Arabidopsis thaliana: one gene and its partner. The main gene of each other region encodes a partner of the protein of the gene in region 2 in a complex. Each region holds a gene or a part of one and is shown on either strand. Other genes may lie near its edges.

What was found.
Region 1: AT1G54010 (region 2) and JAL31 share a complex: the UniProt entries of both Arabidopsis thaliana proteins name them as parts of the PYK10 complex.

Annotation. Positions count from the first base shown.
Region 1 is NC_003074.8:5,578,503-5,585,545, reverse strand, and holds JAL31 (jacalin-related lectin 31), read right to left. Parts: upstream 3,979-7,043; 5' UTR 3,830-3,978; exon of another isoform or gene 3,749-3,829; 5' UTR 3,717-3,748; coding exon 3,516-3,716; intron 3,415-3,515; coding exon 2,977-3,414; intron 2,839-2,976; coding exon 2,587-2,838; 3' UTR 2,359-2,586; downstream 1-2,358. Other genes in the region: AT3G16432 (uncharacterized protein), read right to left, coding at 1,418-1,603; PBP1 (PYK10-binding protein 1), read right to left, coding at 4,872-5,123, 5,245-5,688, 5,786-5,986. UniProt on the Arabidopsis thaliana protein: Polymerizer-type lectin that may facilitate the correct polymerization of BGLU23/PYK10 upon tissue damage. Activates BGLU21, BGLU22 and BGLU23.
Region 2 is NC_003070.9:20,156,891-20,164,641, reverse strand, and holds AT1G54010 (GDSL-like Lipase/Acylhydrolase superfamily protein), read left to right. Parts: upstream 1-3,777; 5' UTR 3,778-3,894; coding exon 3,895-4,153; intron 4,154-4,444; coding exon 4,445-4,563; intron 4,564-4,917; coding exon 4,918-5,386; intron 5,387-5,474; coding exon 5,475-5,788; 3' UTR 5,789-6,053; downstream 6,054-7,751. Other genes in the region: AT1G54020 (GDSL-like Lipase/Acylhydrolase superfamily protein), read left to right, coding at 936-1,185, 1,711-1,829, 1,903-2,103, 2,184-2,436, 2,542-2,837. UniProt on the Arabidopsis thaliana protein: Involved in the control of the PYK10 complex size and possibly substrate specificity. May be exported from the endoplasmic reticulum upon interaction with MVP1.

The sequences.
Region 1 (7,043 bases), on a different chromosome or scaffold from region 2:
ACTTCTAATGACTGATTTTGTCGGAAATAAGATGAGGTTTCATTTTATTTTATTTTGCCAATGAAGTTTTAGTTTTCAAGATGGGGAAATTGTGTTTCAGGATATTACATTGTTTCATTTCAATATTCTACAAGATTTGATAATTGTTAATGTTGTCGCAATTTAATATATCAAACCAAGAAAAGAAAAGAAAACAAAAACATTTTTCAGTAGTTGTTGACAGCAAAAAAATAGTCTAGCGTACATCATTGCGTGCCTGAATGTGGCAAGAAAGATTTGTGCCTAAGTATCTCGTTGTTTCGCGACTCGTGAATCGCGATCTTTAGTCAGATTGGGGTTATAAAAATGGATCAGCATACTAATTCAAAATCTTCTATAAAACGTTAAAGTTGACGTGTACGTCGACCCTGAAACTCGTTGACGTGGTGTGTTGTCTACGCGTGTTATTCAAGATCCAGATTGCGGAAATTTAGTTTTCTTATAAAAAATCCGCTAGGGGTAATAAAATACTTGAAAAACGATTTTCTTCACAAAACATGAATTCGCTCGCAAACAACTATTTCAAGTAGTAATGTTATATCATTCTACTCTACTGTTGTATTAAACTTCTCTCAATAGACTACTAATAAAAAAAAGGATATGAAGAAAAAATTGCTAAGAAAAAGAAGAAGAGGATAAGAATATAACAAGAAAATTAATTTCATGGTGATTTCAAGGTTACCGATAATTATAATTCTAATAACTAATCTTTTTTCAAGTTTGGTTGCTTGGTTGAAACGAGAGTAAAGGAGAGTAAGGTTTCGCAGCTTGTTGGTAAGCTTTTCAAGGATTGGTCGCTTCTCACTAATTATGAGCACAATAGACGGGGTCGTATTTGGGTTCTATGGCGTAAGAATGTGCGACTTAGTCCTATTTATAAGAGTGGTCAATTGCTGACTTGTTCGGTGAAGCTAGAAGATCGACAGGATGAATTTTTCTGTTCCTTTGTCTATGCTTCAAACTACGTGGAGGAGCGAAAAGTTTTATGGTCAGAACTGAAGGATCATTATGATTCTCCCATCATCATCAGATTTAATCCCTTTGGCATAATAGTCTTGCCAGCTTCAAGACCAAAGGGATTAGATGTTCGCATAATAGTCTTGAACCTAAGCATATGATAATGACCGCAGAGTCACTTCCAAAGATTTAATCGCATGTGCCATCGACAGCGGTGATGTATTCACTTGGATAATCAATGTCGAACTACAATGAAATCAAGCAAAACAACTTAATCTTGTCCGATGGAAACCGGTCTGACTTTAAGAAGGTATAAAATAACTAGTATAGTCACAATAGTCAAAGACCACAATGCCTAGGGAAGTTGTGGGATTAAACGGGTCACTTATTAAAAAAAAAGTCCGTATCTCGACCAACCAAGTTATAAAATAAATGGGTTCAAAATGCGTTTGGCCCGTTTAGGCCGCAGCGATATATAAGTACCTCTTTCCGTGTTCATCTCCAGCAACAACTTGAGAAGCATTGGCATACTCAAACTAACCGTGGACACACAATCGACAATCGTGGCCTTGACATATATACACCTTAACACTGTTGTAAGCACCATGCCACCATCGTCCCATGCAGTTCTTTTATCACTACCAAGTTCACCTTTTGAGCCATCATTGTTTGATTTTTACCAATCTTTGGAGTTTTTTTTGGGGTAAGAAGTGAAGTGAAAAAAAATATCTAAAGTTTAAACCGTTCACCAATAAGACTCTAATCTATAAAACAACCACTAGACTACGAAACATTTTTTCTTAGGAGTTACTAAAACTGCAAAAAACAAATTGTTAATTGCAACTATTAACCAAATTTTACTATAATATAGTATCATAAGAGATATAAAGGATGAGGATAAGTGGTGATCCATCCGAGTGGGCTGTACGTTAATTTATTGACCTCTTGGAATTAGCAAAGATATTTTACCAAAAAAGAATCTAATTAATATTCAAGAATAGATCCACATATAGGCCTCATTATTTAATTAATTAACACAATTCTAAATAATAGTAATCCATAATTCGTGATCCACGTTGAGTATTAAATTATTTTACCCAAGAAGGCTACATACTTTTATTATTTTCTTTATTTTTGGCCAACTCATATTATTTGCAACTAATAATATTTTTTAGCCGAAAACTTCTATATTTTGGCCACAATCTAGATAAAAAAAATTACGCAGGTATTTTTGTTTTGGAGAAAAGAAAACACCTATATTTTGGATCCAAAAAAATTTACTTTTGTTTTAAATTGTACAATTCGTACATTGAGATTTTTGTTTAATTATAGTAAGAGAATTAGTATCAGACGCAAATGGGAAATATATATCGGAACATTTGGGGATATAAAAATTAGAAGAGATGAAACAAACTTCCTTAATTAAAATGGAACACAACCACATCAAAGAAAAACCGGCAACACAAGATACAACACTTAAAAGTTAAAACACTTATCAGAGGTCACCAGAGGCATGAAGAGACCTCAAATGACCAATTTATAAGATAAAGATAAAGATCTCCATGGAATCAAAGATAAAGATCTTCATGGTCAGTTGGAAACGGGACGGACATGAACTCCAATTTTGTGGAGCAAAGCATCGGCTCTTCCATGGAAGCCAACGATTTTGTGGCCTTCCTCTTTGAGTTCGAAGGCAGTGCCAGCTTCAAGTCCAAAGGGAGGGGACGTTTGCTTATTAGTCTTGAACCTAAGCATAGTTATGACTGAGCCATCACTCCCAAAGATTTTATCGTAGGTGCCTTCGACTGCGATGATGTATTCACTTGGATAGTCAAGTACGAACTGCAGTTATTGGAACCTTGAATACGTCATCATGGAAATCGAAAGAAAATTTGAATTCTCTGATCAAAGCATATATATAGCTATATGTATATAACATTCATCAACAACAAAAAAAAAAAGAGAAAGAAAACATTATACCTCTTCGAATCCGAGTAGAGTACTCTTTCCATGTTCTTCTCCTGTGACCTCCTCAGGGCTTTTGTCGTATACAAACTTAACAGCCGATATACCATCTTGGGCTTGTCCTACGTACACCTTCTTAACCCCAACGTAAGCACCATCATCCCATGCTGTTCCATCATCACTACCAAGTGCCGGTAGCGGCTTGGCAGGAGTCAATGGGATAGTCAACGGAGCAAAGTAAGCTCCAAGAGAATTAAGATTGTCTCCGGCAGACCCATGAAAGCCAATGATCTTCTTGTCTTGAACTTGGAGAAATGATCTAGTACCACGATCGTATCCAATGAAACGAGAAGTCTTTTTGTTGGATATGAACCTAAGCCCTTGAATAAGACCATCAGGTTTATACCAAATTTCAATAGAAACTAGATGCTCCTCAGGATGGTTAATCACAAACTGTAGAGATCAAGTTCAATATGTCAATACTTCAACGTAAAACAATAGATTTTCTATAAAAATTAGAAGAAGTCAAATAAGCAAGGAAAATGTATAGGAACCGGATCAGTTGGAATGGTACTGCCTTTGATACCACGAAGAGGAGTTTGTTCGGTTTGTCCGTTCTTGACGTAATCGAACTGAATGTATTGAATTCCCATTCCGCCTACTGCAACCTGAATCTTGGTCACGGCGTCATGATCGGATCCATCGTCCCATTGGTTGCCTCCTTTCCCTCCTTTTGCTTCAACCTTTTGAGCCATATTTTGCTTGCTGATCAATCTTACTATAGTTACTATAATTGGAAAAAAAAACAAATTGTGAATTTTCAATTATTAACCAATTTTGTACTAATAGAGAGGAAAAGAGAGATGACCTTCAAAAGTGAGTAGATTGTGATCGATTTAAGTGAATCATAGGTGTTTATATTGACTTCTTGCATATAACCATATATCCGCATATAGGATCATTGATCGTACTAGCAGAAATAATAATCTATTATTTCGTGATCCACGAGGCATATTTAAAACATTACCGGAAGAAATACATGTTCAAATATTCATATACTCCTTTTTTACTTCCACAGCTTCTCAACTAATCGTCTTTATATTGGTGTTGGCCAATGAAACGATGGCAGCAAGCTAATTAGTTCTTTTAAAATTCACAGAGTCGTCAATTTTATTATATACGTTATTACTTGTAAAGGGTGCAAGTTGCAATTTATATAAGTCAGAATTCTACAATTAGTGACCCCCTTTTTAGGACTCTAATTGGTTGACGATTTGATAAGTCTTGTAAGAACATGTTTCCACAGCATTGTACATTATTTCAAACAGTAAAAGTATAATTGAAATCACCTAAGAGAAATTAGAACCAAGAGTATATATATAATACAATTTTCTGTAACGCTCAATCTAGAAACAAGAACCGGTTCGTATTTTTTGGCCAACTCATATACTTTTAACTAATAACTTTTTATGTTTGGAGAAGGCCAAAAACTTCAATATGGTCACACATTCTAGATAAAAACTTTGTGCAGGATTTTTTTACTGAGAAAATACGAACAACTATATATTTGATCCAAAAAAGTTAACATTTGCATTTTAAATTGTACAATTCATACGTTGAGATTTTAGTTTGAATTATAGCAAGTAAAATTAGTATCAGAACCAAATAATGGCAAAAGTAAGTATTATAGAACATATAGGGAAACTAAAGATCAGATTGGAACAAACTTCCTTTATTAAAATAGAGCACAAGAAGAACAAAGAAAAAACAACATCGCAAGAGACAACGCGTAAAACACTTATCAAAGATCACCATTCACCAGAGGCATGAAGAGACCTCATATGAGAAATTTAGAAGATAGATTTGATAACTTATTAGATGCATGGAATCAAGGATAAAGAGCTCCATCATCAGTTGGATAAAGGACGAACATGGACTCCAATTTTGTGGAGCAGAACATCGGCTCTTCCATGGAAACCAACGATCTTGTGGCCTTCCTCTTTGAGTTCGAAGACTGTGCCAGCTTCAAGTCCAAAGGGAGGAGACGTTTGCTTATTAGTCTTGAACCTGAGCATAGTTATGACTGAGCCATCACTCCCAAAGATTTTATCATAAGTGCCATCGACTGCGGTGATGTATTCACTTGGATAGTCAAGTACGAACTGCAGTTATTGGAAACCAAATAAAACAATTGAATACATTATGATGGAAACCGGAAGAGAATTTGAATTCTCTGATGTATAATTTTTACATTCAACAAAAAGAGCAAAGAAAGTATTATACCTCTTCGAATCCGAGTAGAGTACTCTTTCCATGTTCTTCTCCTGTGACCTCCTCAGGGCTTTTGTCGTACACAAACTTAACAGCTGAGATTCCATCTTGGGCTTGTCCAACGTACACCTTCTTAACCCCAACGTAAGCACCATCATCCCATACAGTTCCGTCATCACTACCAAATGCCGTTAGCTGCTTGGCAGGAGTCAACGGAGTTGTAGTAGTCAACGGAGCAAAGTAAGCCCCAAGAGAATTAAGATTGCCCCCGGCAGACCCATGAAAGCCAATGATCTTCTTGTCTTTAACTTGTAGAGTGAAGTGAGTACCCTCATCGGATCCAATGACATCAGAAGTCTTCTTGTTGGAGATGAACTTAATTCCTTGAATGATACCTTCAGGGCTATACCAACCTTCTACAGAAACTAGATGTTCGTCTGGATGGTTAATCACAAACTGTAGAAATAGATCAAGATGAAAATGTCAAAACTTCAAAATATAACAGTATACATATAGAAAGAAGAAGATTAATGGGCAAGGAAAATATAGGAACCGGATCAGCTGGGAGAACACGGCCTTTGGTACCACGAAGAGGAGCTTGTTCGGGTTGTCCGTTCTTGACATAATCAAACTGAACATATTGAATTCCGTCTATGCCTGCTGCGAGCTGAATCTTGGTCACGGCGTCATGTGTCGATCCATCGTCCCATAGGTTGGCTCCTTTCCCTCCTTGTGCTTCCACCTTTTGGGCCATCTTCTGCTTCTTGATAGTACTTACGAATTTCTGTAGTTGCAAAAATAAATTGTTAATATCTACTATTAACCAATTTTTACATAATAGAGAAGAATAGAGATAAGACCTTTTAAAGAGAGTAGATTGTTATCGGTGCTATGATCAATTAAAGTGAATTGTATGTTTATTTATATTGACTTCTTGATATTGATCGTACTAGATGAAATAATAAGGGAAATAATAATTTATTCTTTCGTGATCCACGAGGCATATTTATATAAAAAGCATTACTGGGAAAAACGCATGTTCATATACATTTTTTTTTTTAGATAATGAAAATATTCATATACTTCTACTTGCACAACTTCTCAACTAATCGTCTTTATATTGGCGTTGGCCCATTAAACGATGGCAGCAAGCTAATTCATTGTTTTAAAATTTAAAGAATCGTTTATCAATTAGATTATGTACGATTAATTATTTGTAAAGGGCTAAAGTTGCAAGTTGCAACATATATATACGTTCTCCTTATTAAGAGTCTAATTGGTTAAGATTTGGTAATTATTGTATGAACATGTTTTAAAGCCTTAATCATAATTTAAAAACAGTAACGTTTAATTCAAATCACCGAAGATTAATTAGAAGTTTAGAACCAAAGAGGAGACTAGATATATCATACAATATTCCGTAAAAAAAATCTAGATACAAGAACCGGATCATATGGATCTAGCCATAAAGAATACTCCAAAATATCACAACTAGTTTTAATAACTCTTAGGGAAATTTACGAATTCCTCTGAATTCAAAACTGCTTTTTTTTTTTTTATAACTGATTTATGAAATATTATAAAATTTTGCGAAGAATATTTCTAAAACAAATTCTGTATTCGTTGGTAAAAAGATTTATAATTGTATCATTTACACTGGTACTAAATATTAATCTAATTGAGAGACGCTTAATATGATTCATAAATTATCAAAAAAGCTTTCTAGCTCGACTGCAAATGTACCATGGGATATTCCAAGAAGTCGCACGATCGAATGAAAGCTGGTACGTATAAATTATTAAAAGTTGATC
Region 2 (7,751 bases):
ATTTATACTGATTAGTTGTAAAGAATTTGAAACTTTGAAGCATGGATAAAGGGTTTAAATAAGGTTTTAGGGATTTAGGAATTCATGTTTAAGATTCGGTTAGAAAGTATAGGATTCAGTTTTTACTTTTTAAGATTTGTAGTTTAGTTGAATATACATTGGTGCTCTTTTAATTATTTTTAACAAAAAGAAGAAGTTATTTTTAACAAGATAAAGACTATTAAAAAAATCTCTTGAAAATAAATGATGTTTTGGTTCAACAAAACTTGAATACATTAATTATTAAGGGTTAACAAAAAAAATTATTAAGGGTAATTTAAAAACTGTGAGAGAAAAAACATTAATCATTGCTCAAGTCTTTCTTCTTCTTTTTTTGGTCGCTCAATGCTCAAGTGTGTTCTGCTTTCTAGAGCAGCAACTTTTTGACAAAAGGAAAAAGAAAAACATCTTTCTCAACCTTATTAAAAATAGAACAAACGTGTCTAGGTAGAAGAACTGTAGAAACTAACTAGTTAGTTTCAATTGATATAAGACATAGCAAAAACGTGAGAGATTGAATATTCACGGCGTTGTGGTTTTCTTTTGCTAACAATGATTTTACATGACATTTTTGCGAAACGTTTTATTTTCTTAAAAAATTGTGTTACATAATTGTTTTTTTGTTTGTTCTATAATTACGTAACAGCTCTTAACGTTTACAATAAATATATATTTTCTAACGTTTATATTTTTATTAGATATTTTTTCCCCAAACTTTTTTCTTTATTTTAAACTGAGTTCGTTTAATCTTTAATTATAGAACATTCTTTTTTTTTTGTCATCAATTATAGAACATGTTAAAAGCTCTTTTATTTCCAAATATTTTACAATATAAATATATTAGAGGACCGAGGAACTTATTGTACCTCATCATTCTTCCTTCTGGTTAACTGAAAATGGAGTGTAGTTCAGTGAGTGTACTAGGAATATTACTGGTATTTCCTCTCCTTCATAACCTTGTCACCATCTCCGGGCAGAATCTTCCGGCGGTGGGTTTGTTCACTTTCGGAGATTCCAACTTCGACGCTGGAAATAAAAAGTTCCTCACAAGTGCTCCACTTCCTCAAAACTTTTGGCCTTACGGTAAATCTCGAGATGACCCTAAGGGCAAGTTTTCTGATGGCAAAATTGTCCCGGACTTTATTGGTAAGTTTGTAAATTTATCTCTATTTTACACTTTTAATTTTTTCAAAAGGAATCAGATTGTTTTATTATATCTTTCTAATCCCAAGTAAACATATAGAGGACAACATATGGTTTGTGGATTGATGCTTATTTGTTATCCTTCATGTTAAAATTCTGTCCCAATACAGTTGTTAAATATTTTACTTAAATCAATAAATGATTTTATAATGAGTTCGATTAAAAATAAGCAATTGCAACGGGTACTTCAATATTGCAAACTCTTTTATAATGTGTGAAAAGTTGGTAAAAACGTAACGGGCTAGTAATTGTTTTTTCAAAGGTCTCAATCTGAATCAGCCTGATTTCTTTAATATTTTAACAACGTATACAAGATGAACACGCTCTTTATAGGTATAATGCTATAATGCATATCATTTAACCATTAAGAAAACTAGCTACTCGTTTTTATAGGTACTCTATACTAAATGGAAATTTTGATTGGTAATTAAAGATATATGAAATTGATGAGGGGTGAATAAATCACAGCAAAATTCATGGGGATACCACACGATTTACCGCCGGCGCTAAAACCCGGCACCGATGTGTCACGAGGAGCCAGCTTCGCCGTCGGGTCCGCTTCCATTCTTGGATCTCCAAAAGATTCTGTAAGCTCACTTAAAATATTTGTTAATCAATCGTAAAGCAATGTCATAATAAAGATTCACATTTTTTTGGTAGTTGGCTCTGAATCAACAAGTGAGGAAATTCAATCAGATGATATCAAATTGGAAAGTGGATTACATTCAGAAATCAGTGTTTATGATTAGCATTGGTATGGAAGATTACTACAACTTTACCAAAAACAATCCTAATGCTGAAGTTTCTGCTCAACAAGCTTTCGTTACTTCTGTCACTAACCGGTTTAAGAGTGATATCAACGTAAGTATTTTCATCCAAAACTAATCAAAAATTAATACGAGTTAGTGATATAGATATGTTGTTATAATGATTAATTGCAGTTGTTGTATTCATCTGGAGCTAGTAAATTCGTCGTACACTTGCTAGCGCCATTAGGTTGTTTACCGATCGCAAGACAAGAATTTAAAACCGGTAACAATTGTTACGAGAAACTCAATGATTTGGCCAAACAACACAACGCTAAAATTGGACCGATTTTGAACGAAATGGCGGAAACTAAACCGGATTTCCAATTCACCGTTTTCGATTTCTACAACGTTATTCTTCGCAGGACACAAAGAAACATGAACTACCGTGAGTTACAATTCGCCATTCAAAGTTCCACACTATCATTAATATCGTTATATGCTTTTACTTTGAAGCAAACATTTAATAATACTTGTTGTTATGACTAATTAGGGTTTTCCGTGACGAATATATCGTGTTGCGGTGTTGGGACGCATTATGCATATGGTTGTGGTTTACCTAACGTGCACTCGAAGTTATGCGAATATCAAAGATCCTACCTTTACTTCGACGCACGTCATAACACAGAGAAAGCACAAGAAGCGTTTGCTCATCTTATCTTTGGAGCTGACCCAAATGTTATCCAACCTATGAATGTTCGTGAGCTCATGGTGTATCCTGTTAATGAGCCTATGCGTGAGTTTTGGGAGGATCCAATGGATGAGAAGTTATCGTTAGTCCAATACTAGTGGATCTGTCTACCTCGTTTAGTTCTTGAGCTCACTATTTTCTATCTCTAGATCACGTACGAGCTCTTGGAATTTGTAATGTATTGTTCTTAATTAGTTGCGAAGTAAAATAATTAATACTGTTTAAATCCTCAACTCTGCTTATTTTCATAAGAAAAAAATAATCAATTAATGGGTAATTTGATAGACCTGAGAATATAACCAAAGCATATATATGACCTGCTTTGTGCTCATATTAGACAAGTTTCGGGCCATACGCACTCATTAGAACGAAATGATTGAATTTGGTGGAATCATTTAAGACTTATGGATTTCAAATTACATAACTCACTTGAGTCATTTTATTTACTTTTTTTTTTGTTTTTTTTTGCAATTCTTGTTGTAATGAAATAGTGGAAATGGTTTCAATTTTTAACTGTTCCAAAATTATTTTATAATAAGTGTTGTTTTAGGTTTTAATATAAAATTTTGGTTAAAGTTCCAAATTTTATTTATACTGTTTTAATGTGTTAACTAGAATGAATTAATCATAGTAAAACAATTTTTTTTTAGTTTGTAGTATTTAAAAAAAACGAACACTTGATCTGAAATGCATGGAGTATTTTCTTAGTTACGTTTTCATAGGTGAGAGGTTCCATTTGACATGTTTTTTTATATATTTTATTGAAATATAGGAATATGCATTTAAATCTTCTTCTGCCCTCAATGCATGATCGATCTTCTTGATACTAGTAACAATAAATGTATCTTGAAAATTAAGAATAAATAAAATAGAAATGGGATACCAGTTGTGCATTAACTAGGTGTGTAGAAAAAAGAAAAAAATGAACCTCGAGCAACACGTTATCATATATTCATATTTAAATAACAATATTTTTCAATTGCTAAATTGCTTTTTTCTTAAAAACAATCTTTTTGATAAAAAAAATTCAGTTGCCAAATTGTGTAGTATTTACAATATAAATATAACGTATCGGTCTACGAGCTAAGACACAAAAGCAATCTTCTACTCATTTACTGTTCTGTTTCACTTTCTCTCTCTCTGTATACTCTCTAAATGATGGCAAAAAACTGTAATTTAGTCAGTGTTCTATGTGTATTTTTGGTATTGACCCTCTTTAACAAACCCATCACCGTCGCCGGGCAGAATATTCCGGCGGTGGGCTTGTTCACCTTTGGTGACTCCAACTTCGACGCCGGAAACAAACAGACTCTCACCAAAACCTTACTCCCTCAAACTTTCTGGCCGTATGGAAAATCCCGAGATGATCCCAACGGCAAATTCTCCGACGGCCTCATCGCTCCAGACTTCCTCGGTGCGACATTTTTTTGTTTGTATAACTGAAAGATCTTAATCCGAATTCTACAAAACATAAAACATGCAAAATGATATTTTTTATCATTTAAAACGTTAGTACAAATGACGAGTGTTGGATATTAGTTAATTACTAAAAATAACGGTTAAAATATTTTAAAAATAAAAAAGGTTCAGCTGGTATTCACTTTTCGAAACACATGGATTTTTTTTTGATTTTTTTTCGTTAACAGATTCGGAGATTATATTTGTATTATATGAAAACCTAATATATTTAATGTACAAAATGCAGCTAAATTCATGAGGATTCCGATCGTGATCCCGCCGGCCCTTCAACCGAACGTCAATGTCTCACGTGGAGCTAGTTTCGCCGTCGCTGATGCTACTCTACTCGGAGCTCCGGTGGAATCTGTAAGTCAACTTAATTTCTTACTATAATCATCTTATTCAAAATAAATGAACCATGTCTGTCTTTTATTGACCCGGTCATACATAGCCGGTCCTTAATTTACCTTCAGGTGGCCTTAGCACAATTGGAAGATGGCCTTCTTAATGATATAAAATATATTAAAGGTTTTACCAAATTACTGTTTTTATTTTTTTTGGCGAATGATTTAGTATATATCTTCTGGTCTAAAGCATGTGCTTGACCTGTCTTATGGACTAGCCTGGATCATACTAAACGGCATATTTTTGTTTTATTAAAGACATCTGACTTTAACTGCAATTATAATTTTGTCTTTTTGTCTTTTTTTGTTTTTTTAGTTGACTCTGAATCAACAAGTGAGAAAGTTCAATCAAATGAAAGCAGCAAATTGGAATGATGATTTCGTGAAGAAGTCAGTGTTTATGATATACATTGGTGCAAACGATTACTTGAATTTCACCAAGAACAACCCTAACGCCGATGCATCTACTCAACAAGCTTTTGTCACTTCCGTGACCAACAAGTTAAAGAACGATATCAGCTTGTTGTATTCATCAGGAGCGAGTAAATTTGTGATCCAAACCCTAGCTCCATTGGGTTGCTTACCCATCGTCAGACAAGAGTTCAACACCGGGATGGATCAATGCTATGAGAAACTCAACGATTTGGCTAAACAACACAACGAAAAAATTGGACCGATGTTGAACGAATTGGCTAGAACAGCTCCTGCATCAGCTCCTTTCCAATTCACCGTCTTTGATTTCTACAACGCGATTCTTACTAGGACGCAGAGGAACCAAAACTTCCGTGAGTTGGTTAATTATCATGGTTTAATTTCATTTTTAAATTTTTTTATAACTTCTAATACCATGTGTTTAATATTTGCCATTCTTAGGATTTTTCGTTACGAACGCATCGTGCTGCGGAGTTGGGACACATGATGCTTATGGTTGCGGTTTTCCTAACGTACATTCGAGGCTATGCGAGTACCAACGGTCTTACCTATTCTTCGACGGACGTCACAACACTGAGAAGGCGCAAGAGATGTTTGGTCATCTTCTTTTTGGAGCCGATACAAATGTTATCCAACCGATGAACATCCGTGAGCTTGTCGTTTACCCTGCCGATGAACCTATGCGTGAGTCTTGGGTGCCCCCAACGTCAGCCACCGTTCAACTCAGGGAGAGCCGCGGTTACGAGTATTACTGAGTCTCTAAAATCAATATTTAGGGATCGATCGGGGTTTCTATAAGGGTTATGAGTCAAATTATAACTGGATCAATATCGGAATCTTGAGTAGTTTTAATTTCCAATGTTTTCATGTTTCTCTAGTGAGTTTTCCTCCATAATAAAAGATTGATCTCTGCAACTCTTACCCCTTGCAAATCTTTTATTTAAAAGAAACAAAACTTTTACATAAATTTATTTCTTTTTTTTGTCAACCACATATTAAAAGGTAATTCCATAATTAAAAAAAGAAGGCACAAGAAGCGTTTTCTCATCATCTTATCTTTTGGAGCGGACCCAAATGTTATCCAACCTATGAATGTTCGTGAGCTCATTGTGTATCCTGTTAATGAGCCTATGCGTGAGTTTTGGGAGGATCCAATGGATGAGAATATCATCGTTAGTCCATGACGTCGACGTCGATGCTAGTGAATCTATCTAACTCGTTTAGTTCTTGAGCTCACTATTTTCCATCTCTATACCATGAACGAGCTCTTGGAATTTGAAATGCGCTGTTATTAATTTGTTGAGATTTAAAATAATAATGTAACCTCAACTCTGTTTTTTCCATAAGAAAAATCTCAATGAGTAACGTGATAAACCTGACAATATGAACCAAAGCGTGTCCAATGACCTGCTTTGTGCTCAGATTAGACAAGTTTCGGGCCACATGCACTCCATTAGAACAAAATGATAAATTTTGGTGGAATCAATTTAAGAAGGTAGTGGATTCAATTTGAGACCTTTTTTACCCTCTTTTTTTGTTTGCAATTATTCTTGCAAGGTAATATTCGAAATGATTGGCAACAAAGAAAATAAAAAGTAGAAATTATAAAGTTCCAGAAAAGATAAGTTTATACATCTGGCTTTGGGGCCGGCTATATTTACAGTTAATTTTCATATGAAATAAAACCAAAAATCATATATATAGATAATAGATGAACCAAACAAATGAGGCGTTCTTCATATAAAACTTCATCTTCACGTAAGCAAATGTGTTTTATTTTTATCTAGTTTCTGCACTCTTTTAGAAACAAAATTGTTCACCTTTCTGTCGTTCTAATGATTCCAATCAAATTGATAATTACTAGAACTTACAAACGAATAAGGACCAACTCTTCTGTATTTGATATAGACACTCTCTCAAAACTTAATCTTCTCTAATCTTCACTGTAAATCTTAAGGAACAACTCTCCACAAGTTTTTATAATTTATATATACATAACTAAGCTATTACCTATACTATTAAGATTGTGTCAACGCAAAATTGAGTTATTCTTTCTTATTTAAATTTGAACTATTAAAAATATGTAAATAATTAACGAAAATCTTTGTCAAAACACTATTAAGAAAATAATTTCAAAAATTAACATGATGATAAAATATAGATTGTTAATTGTTTTTTTTAATTGTTTTCAAGTAATTTAATCAATAATATGATGAGGATGATTAAGGAAATTACTATAATTTATCTTTTAAAGAATATCTTAGCATAGGTATGAGTTGTTTTTGCAAAATTTTAATAATTGATTTAAGTTATCTAAACGTTATTAAAATTATTATCCAAATTATCTATAATTATCCGAACATATTCGTCTCTTGTCTATTCTGGTAGTGATATTTTATGTATCTATATTATTCATATATCGTATCAGTATAATCTGACTTATTTAAAAATATCTATTTGATATGTATTTTGATATTAAAAATATTTTAATTCGAGTTGTGTACTCGTAAATTATCCAAAAGTTTTAGCAGAAATAAACATATCTACGTATATGTTGGTGTTGAAATTTTTTTGTTGAATTTGGCTAGTCAGCAAAATTTAGTTTTATGCAAATGGTTACTGCAGAAATTACTGAATCTGGTTTAGTGTTACCATTTACACCCTATATTTCCGTGAAATTTGTATGTTTAATTCTACTTCTTGCCTCTAAATGCACGA